Linked DNA regions of Mus musculus. The protein of the gene in region 2 purifies or fractionates together with the protein of the main gene of each other region. This does not show direct contact. Links are inferred from orthologs where the notes say so. Each region holds a gene or a part of one and is shown on either strand. Other genes may lie near its edges.

Region 1 (4,139 bases), on a different chromosome or scaffold from region 2:
CAGAGAACGGAGAAAAGCCCTGCTCTACAATGAACTAGCTGACAGAGAGTGCCCCAACTTTTTTTTTGTGCCCCAACTTCTTACAAATGACAACAATATCATCTACTTTAAGCACTCTTGAATCTTAAACAAATTAAATCTCTAATCACCAACAATTGAGGACACATCCATAAATAATAAAAAAAAATTTTCACATATAAAAATAACACTATTTATAGCCATATATGGGGAGGCATGCCTGTGACCCCCACACTCAGGAGGTTGGGAAAGGAGAAGAGTTGAGTTGCACTTGGAGGTCAGCCTGGGCAGCATAGAAAGATCCTGTCTTTAAAACTTTTTAATTAATATTTGGAAAGCACTCCTATGTTACTTCATTAAACACACCTAATAACCCTTGCAAATCAGCCAGACAGGTATTATTACCCATGTTTTATAGATAAGCTGAGACAGAGAGAACCAGAAGCAGAAATAATGAAGATCTAGCTTTAAACTCAAGTCTATGGTGCTAAAATCCTCAACTTTCAAGTTTTTCCCAATATTCTTTGTCACTTGGTAACTAGGACAGGGTGCAGCCTAGCGATGGCAGTATTAAATGACCTTCAACTGCTGGTGAGTAAACAAGGCTATAAGGTACAAAGTCCCAAAGTCACACATCATCACAAACCCAAAGTAAAAGTACCACCTCTTCTGGGAACTACAAGTAATTAAATCACACTTTGCTCCTGGGAAACCAAGGGTGACTGTCACTTATAACAGAGGCTAACAGTGCCAAGAAGTGAAGAAACTTTAAATTAGGAATCGTTTACACCAAAAAGACAGTTTCAGTTGGAATGATATATGCTCACAATTAAATAATGCTAAACAGAAAAACAAAGACCTCCTTAGCATTATTGTATTACATTTAAATAAGCTCCACTTCGGACAGTTACCTCTTCTTGATCTTGTTACACACAATATCATGCTTCACCATCTCTAAACCAAACTCATGCATGAATCTACTCAACTCTAGGCTCAAACCTGTTATCAAAATAAACAAACAGTCCTATGTCCCCTCTAAGAATGGCAGCTGGACTTTCAGGCGCTAAAGCCATCAGAAGTCACAGATTTAGACTTTCCCAACTCTAAATCAATCCACTAGTTCTACATTTTAACTCTTATGAACTTGTCAATCATATTCACATGTTAATAACAACTTTCTCACAGCTACAGCAAAATCTTTCAATGTAGAGTTTACTATAACAAAATAAACACTTGATTATTAAATCTCTTGAGTAATAACATTGAGTTCTCTGCCATGGAAATTAAAACAGCAATTATCTTTCTGGTATTTGCAAAAAGGACTAGACAATTCGGGATACGCTTATTTTTAGAAAATGGTGGGGGGGTTTTAAGGCAAATAGTCTTATTCAAATACACACATGCATAGATGATAGGCTGTCCCATTTACATCATAAGATTGTTAGTTACTATCCTACTTTGCAAACTTCCATACTTCTGACGGACTTAAACGTTGAGCTTGTTAAATTAATAACTAAGAATCCCAGAGAGGTCCCATTAACTGGCACAGGTAAGTTAACAAAAGCGAACAACAAGATACGGCGTCAAACAGCACCTCAATTCTTGCACAGGCAACACTCTCCATGGCACCAGCCCCCATCGCTCATCAACTGAAGACCAGTCGACAAGGTTTCCATTGCAAACTGTCACACAACAAAAAGTCAGGACGTACGTCTCAGCCTCACAGTCCAAATTCAAAACACCACAGAGCCACTACGTTTAAGCGATTCCCATAGCAAATTACCCAGGGCATTCTCTGTTATTTACTAAAGTGCCAAGCAGTTCCCAGGGGTGCCCAGCAAATGATAATTTAGTTCCCAGGATAGGCTCCTCGCCACACAAGGATGACTTCCCTACTTGGTGCCAACTGTACACTTGCACACTCCGCAAACAGGGGGCGAGTCCTGAATACCAGGGGTTACGAGGGCAACGTTTGTGTTTTTATTATGGGCTCAGATGATCCCGAATGCTGAAAAGCGCGACCTATCACCCTAGAGTCAATTTCCAACTGTGCTCTCACCCAGGACCATTCTATCCCCGCGGAAGACAATTATTAGTTGTAACAAGGCCTAGAGAGGGGAGAAGGAAAAAAAAAATAGTGGGGTTTAAAGAAGAAGAAAAAAGTTCACCTAAGAGACACGGGAAAGGTGAGCTCAGGCTTCGAGGGAGAGGGAGGTCAACACCAATGGTGCTGAAAGCGCAACTACAAAAGCCCCTTTCTGCCCCGAGTGCAGGCGAGCCGGGCACCGTCAGTCATTCCGATGGAGTGCGGGGGGCCAGGGGTCCCCCCGAGGCCCGCAGCTTTGTCCGGCGGCGCCGCGGGGCCGGCCAGGGGTGTGCGCGGCGGCCGGGCGCGGCCCCCGACCGCGGGCCCCTTCCTCGCGCGGCTCCCCAGCGCCAGGCCTCTGTCCCCGCCGCTGTCCCCGCCACCTCCCCTCCCCCTCCCGGGACCCCGGCAACTTTTCCCCCGGCCTCGCCTCGCTTCGCCTCACCTCTCAGCAGCACGCAGAAGCTGCAGGCCAGGAGGCTCCTCAGCACGGCCCCCATCTTCCCCCCACCACCGCGCGCGCTCGCGGCCCTCACCGGCGCCCGGCGGCCAGGGGACGCGCGGGCGAGGAGCCGGGGCGGCCGCCGCAGCGGCGGGTCTGCACGCTCATGCTTTCCGCGGCCGCGAGAAGAAAGAAAAGGGCGCACGTCAGGGCTCTAGCGCGCCGCTCCGGCCCGGGCTCGCGCGACGCCAGCGCCTGCCCCCATGCCGCCGCCTCCTCCCGCGGCGCCCCACGTCCCCCGCGCGGCGCCTCATTCAGCCTCTTCCTCTCGCAGCGGCGCAGGGATCCGCCGCGGGGCCGCCGCCGTCTCCCTGCGCGCCCGACTCCCCCCACCCCCGTCCTCAGCGCGCCGCGGCCGGACCCCGGGAGCCGCGACCGCCGCGCGCGCCGACTCCCCGGAGAGCCCCCGCGGGTTGAGCCTCGCGAGCCCCCGCACGCTGCGGGGATAAGGTCTTCCCGAGGCGCATTCCGATGGGATTCTTTCCCCGGGCGGCGGAGGGCGTGAGGCGACGTCGGCCGACACTGGGGCCGGCGTGGTCGGGACTACTTTCTGCGTCCCGGCCCGTCGCCGCCCGCGCCGCTCTTTGTGCGCCCGGCCGCCGAGCCAGGTGGAGCTGCGGACCCCGGGGCTGCCCCGGGACGTAGGAAAATCAAAGTGCCATTGCGGCTTACGCTTTCCCGAAGCGGCGGGCCAGGGGAACGGTGTGCAGAAGCCAACGCGGAGCACATCGCTAGTGGACTGGGTTGAGAATCCTCATCATAGGAAGTAAAATAAACCAGACTCGGACTTTAAAAAAAAAAAAAAGTATGTTTTTCTCCTAGTGTGGAGCCTGCTTTACATATACACATAAAGTCACACACATGGGGAAAAGACAAAGATTGTGGGATTGTATACACATAAGTAAACCTTACTCAGACAAGTTTCCCTCATATGTGGATCTAGGGGTGTGTGTGTGTGTGTGTGTGTGTGTGTGTAGAAATGCCTTTATATATGAGTTAACACATAGATGATAAGAAAATAAAAGTATGACTATCTGGGAAAAAGAGTGAAGCTAATGTTGGGGGAAGAGGCACACACATGTTAAAAGAAAATTATGTGCTTGAATCTTATCCATCATTACATACAATAAATATAAACTAAGAAAAAAATTAAAGAAAAAAAACAATAGTTTTTTGTTTGTTTGTTTATTGCCTTCCAAGAAATACAGACCTTTTTTTGTGAACTAAGCTGACAAGGACTAAAGCTTTCTAAACTGAGAGAGAAAATCCTTAGTAGCTAACAGCAAAGAGAAAATAAAACATGTCTTTTCAGGGGGAGGGGTTACAGGTCTGAGAGAAAAAAAGGAGCCCCCAAAACAACCTCTACCACTACATGTGCAGTGGGCATTTCCAAGTAATAGCCCAAATGCCCTCTGCAGTCAACTGGCCAGCTTCAGCCTAGGCCAGCCAGCTCCAAACGTTAACCATCAGCTGTGTCCTGTCCAGCCATCACACACCCTTTCTGCAGGCGAATGGGCAAAGGGCTCACCTAGG
Region 2 (3,643 bases):
AGAGGAGATCACCAGAATTCCACACCAAGTCAGCTGTAGTGACACAAACTTGTAATCGCCAAACTCAAGAAGTAGAGGCAGGAGGATGATGAATTTGAACAGTCTGGGCTATAAAGTGAAACTCAAATTTAAAAGGACAACAAACAAGAGTTCCACACAGGACATACGGACATGTTCAGAGAACCCCAAATAGAGACATCAAATAAACAGTTGATTGTGTGGACCTAGGACTCAGGGACAGAGGCTAGAGGGAGTTTGTTAAATACATAAAAGCAACAGAGTTGGGTGGCGGCGGCAGTAGCACACACTTTTAATCCCAGCATTCAGGGGGGAGAGGTAGGTAAATCTTTGAATCCAAGGCCAGCCTGGTCTCCAGAGCGAGTTTCAGGACAGCCAGGGCTACACAGAGAAATCCTGTCCTGAAAAAACAAACACAAACAAATAAACTGACGCAGTAAAATTCAACTAGGTCTAGATGCTAGATTATATCTAGAGACACAGAAAGATGCTCTCTCAGTCTCACGAACACGGCTGTGTTCGGTCCAGACAGCTATGCATTGAGGGACAGGCCTGTCCTGTGTGGTATAAGGAGTCTGGCAACACTGGCACTGAATGCCAGTAACACTGAATGCCAGTAACAGCTCCACCGTCCAGGAGTGACAACCACGAGTGTCTGCACACATTGCTATCTCCCTCAAAACTGCTGTGGGTGGAGAAGTGGTCGTCTATGGTTGAGACGAGGGAAGAGAAGTCAGGAAAGGACTGCCAACAGAAGTGAGGGCTGCAGATGAGAAGCCTGTGGCCACGCCCAGAAAACCAGAGTCCAAGGGCAAGAAACAACTGAGTCCAGGCTCGCTGGCTGCGAAGACTAAGGAAGAGGAAGGCTGTCTTCAGCTTGTACTCAGCTGGTGACATCGATTAAAAGCAGCTTCCTGGCATGTGGAGGTCACACAGGGGAAGGATGACAGTGACAGAGAGCCCAGGAGGTAGAGGGGGTTAGCGGAGCTCTCCCGTGACAGAGACAGAGACAGAGACAGAGGGTGGCAGCTGCGGAGGGCTGGGCAGTCAAGACAACAGACTTCTTTCTGTGATGTGTGCTTATTCGTGTCCCGCCAGGAATGAAGGGCGGGGTGAGAACCACTCTATAAGCCATGTGTGCAGGGAGCTGTGCAGATTGACTGCACAGGGAGAAGATGAGGATGCTCTCTGAGGAGCCCTCTGTCCTCCTAACTCAGAACACATGAGACCATTAGCTAAGGTAAAGGGTGAGTGTCTGAAAAGGTGAGTGTCCAGTCTCAGAGCAGGAGAGCATCACCGAGGCCTGCTGTGCTGGCCTGAAGGCTCAGAGCCCTAACTCTATACGCTGTCTACCCTGCTTGTGTTTTCTCCCAGAACTAGAAAACCTGGCAACTGAAGACAGTATATTCTACCACTAGGTACCACAATTTTTATTTTATTATTAACTTACAACCCTGGAATTTTCTTCCTGAAACCAACTGGAGTCCCGACCTACACCTAACAGTTACAGATAATAAACTCATATAAAATAAATAAAATATAATAAATAAATAGTGTTTCTGAAAATATGTATTTTTGGACAAGATCTCCTATAACCCAGGCTAGCCTTAAATTCCCCACATAGCCAAAAATGGCCCTGAAGCACACGTTCTTTTTTTTTTTTTTTTTTTTTTGGGGGGGGGGTTGTGTTTCGAGACAGGGTTTCTCTGTGTAGCCCTGGCTGTCCTCAAACTCAGAAATCCGCCTGCCTCTGCCTCCCGAGTGCTGGGATTAAAGACCTGCGCTACCACGCTCGGCTTTTTTTAGGGGGTTGGGGGGCGAGCGTTCTTTCAACTGAACTATAATCCTGGCCTCTCTCCTAAAAGTATCATTTCCAGCCTCTCATAGGATAGTGCACTTACACACCTGGCACCGTTCCTCCAGATGGTTTAGCCCTACCAGAGTTCTAGATCTGAGAACACTGGGCTCAAGAACCGACACACAGGGCCTTCGGCTCTCTCCTATTTGCTTTTAAGCCAGTGTTTCACTCTGCTGCCCTGGTTGGCCTCAAAGTCCTGCCACCAGCCATCTTGCCTGAGACGCCCAGGTACAGCAACAGGTGCCACATCGTTCTTCCAGCGATGCTGCTGCCCGCAGCACGCGCAGGCGCAGGCGCGGCTCTTCCAGCCAATGGCAGCAAGCAGGAATACTCACTCTCTTCACGGCTCCCTCCCCAACGCGCTTCAGCTGCCTGACTTCTGTCCTCAGCTCTTCACAGGACAGCCAGCGTGAGCAGTTTCTCATCCGCCCCATTCTGAAGTAGCCCGGAGGACAGCGCCTAGAGTCCGCGGTGGATCGTCCAGGGGAGATGAAAAGCTGATCAAGGCAGAGGTAGAGCGCCACGTTCATAAGGGCCATGGCGAGCAGCAGCCCCACGCCCCGGGGGAGCTCTCTATGCGTGAGACCATTCCTGGTTCCATGTTGCTGTCCCATGTCAGTCCCTACAACAGAACAGGAGACAATGAGTAGCAAGCACCATTGTCTGCTTGGATTTCCACTCAGATGCCTCTGGCGGGCTGGAGGCGGCCACACCCACTCATGGGTTCAGTCAGCTTCGGGGTCACTTGCAGGCTTGTGTGATGAACCCGCAAATGTGAGCGACTCTCATAAACGTTATTCTTCATTACAGGCTAAAAGTAAGCTCATCCAGACCAGGTCTGGTCTTTTTCGGCCACACTCAATCGATAGCCTGAACGTTTAGTGAAACATAAGCAAAATATGTATTTGCCGGACTGGGATAGAATAAAGACAAGGGTGTAGGCAGACAGGGGACTCCTGCAGCTAGCTGACATGTTAGGGTGCTCCTTGGAAGTTACCCAAAAGCCCCTGAACAAGCTGGTGATGGAGTTTCCAGCATGTGCAAGATCCTGGTCTCAAACCCTAATCTAGCAATAACAAGATATTTAGGCTCTCTTCTTTTGGGGCTCAGGGGATTGAATGCAGGGCGTCAGTTATGCTAGCTGAGCACCCCGGCCCTGAGAGACAGAAGCAAAGGTGGCTCTTCGGCAGGTGCACAAGGCGGCTCTGGGGTGGGGAAGATGGAGGTGTAGAGGCCCTGAGGGTGGGGAAGATCTCTATCTGCAGAGGCCCTGGCAATAATGGGGGGGGGTAACAGTTGACAAAGTTGTGGGTGGCAATCACTGTGACAAGATCTTCTGGAGAGATGACTCAGGAGACACTGGAAGTAGGGACCTAAAAAATCCAGAACAGGGTCACTACAGGCCATCACAAAGCGGCCATGATGGAGGGGCCTGGATGGAGGAGCCTGGATGGGGATAAGTCTGAGATACACCCTCAAACAAAGGATGCTTGTCCCTGGAGGTGCTGGAGAGAGATCTTCTAAGCTGACTCTCAGGCTGGGGACATGGGGACCCAGCATCAATAGTGACAAAAAAAAAGTTACCTTCAGCAGTTTCTTTTTTCTCCCAGCAGGGTTTCCATCCACATGCCTGTGTCCCTCAGTGACCTGCTTGGTTCAACATGGCAGCTCACAACCTCTATAACTCCAGTCCCAGGAGATCTGATGGTGTCTTCTGGCCTCTGGAGATACTGCAATCACATAGCACACGGACACACGTGTAAGCAA

Evidence for each region. The genes of interacting proteins can lie anywhere in the genome.
Region 1: the proteins of Pomk (region 2) and Lrp6 purify together in Homo sapiens (affinity purification with mass spectrometry; 3 studies listed by BioGRID and IntAct, counting the BioPlex papers as one, with this or other methods). This does not show direct contact. The link is inferred for Mus musculus from reciprocal best matches to the Homo sapiens genes POMK and LRP6.

What each region holds. Positions count from the first base shown.
Region 1 is NC_000072.6:134,564,094-134,568,232, forward strand, and holds the start of Lrp6 (low-density lipoprotein receptor-related protein 6 precursor), read right to left. Parts: upstream 2,821-4,139; 5' UTR 2,605-2,820; coding exon 2,550-2,604; intron 1-2,549. UniProt on the Homo sapiens protein: Component of the Wnt-Fzd-LRP5-LRP6 complex that triggers beta-catenin signaling through inducing aggregation of receptor-ligand complexes into ribosome-sized signalosomes.
Region 2 is NC_000074.6:25,984,035-25,987,677, forward strand, and holds part of Pomk (protein O-mannose kinase), read right to left. Parts: intron 3,607-3,643; 5' UTR 3,461-3,606; intron 2,499-3,460; 5' UTR 2,491-2,498; coding exon 2,212-2,490; intron 1-2,211. UniProt on the Homo sapiens protein: Protein O-mannose kinase that specifically mediates phosphorylation at the 6-position of an O-mannose of the trisaccharide (N-acetylgalactosamine (GalNAc)-beta-1,3-N-acetylglucosamine (GlcNAc)-beta-1,4-mannose) to generate phosphorylated O-mannosyl trisaccharide (N-acetylgalactosamine-beta-1,3-N-acetylglucosamine-beta-1,4-(phosphate-6-)mannose).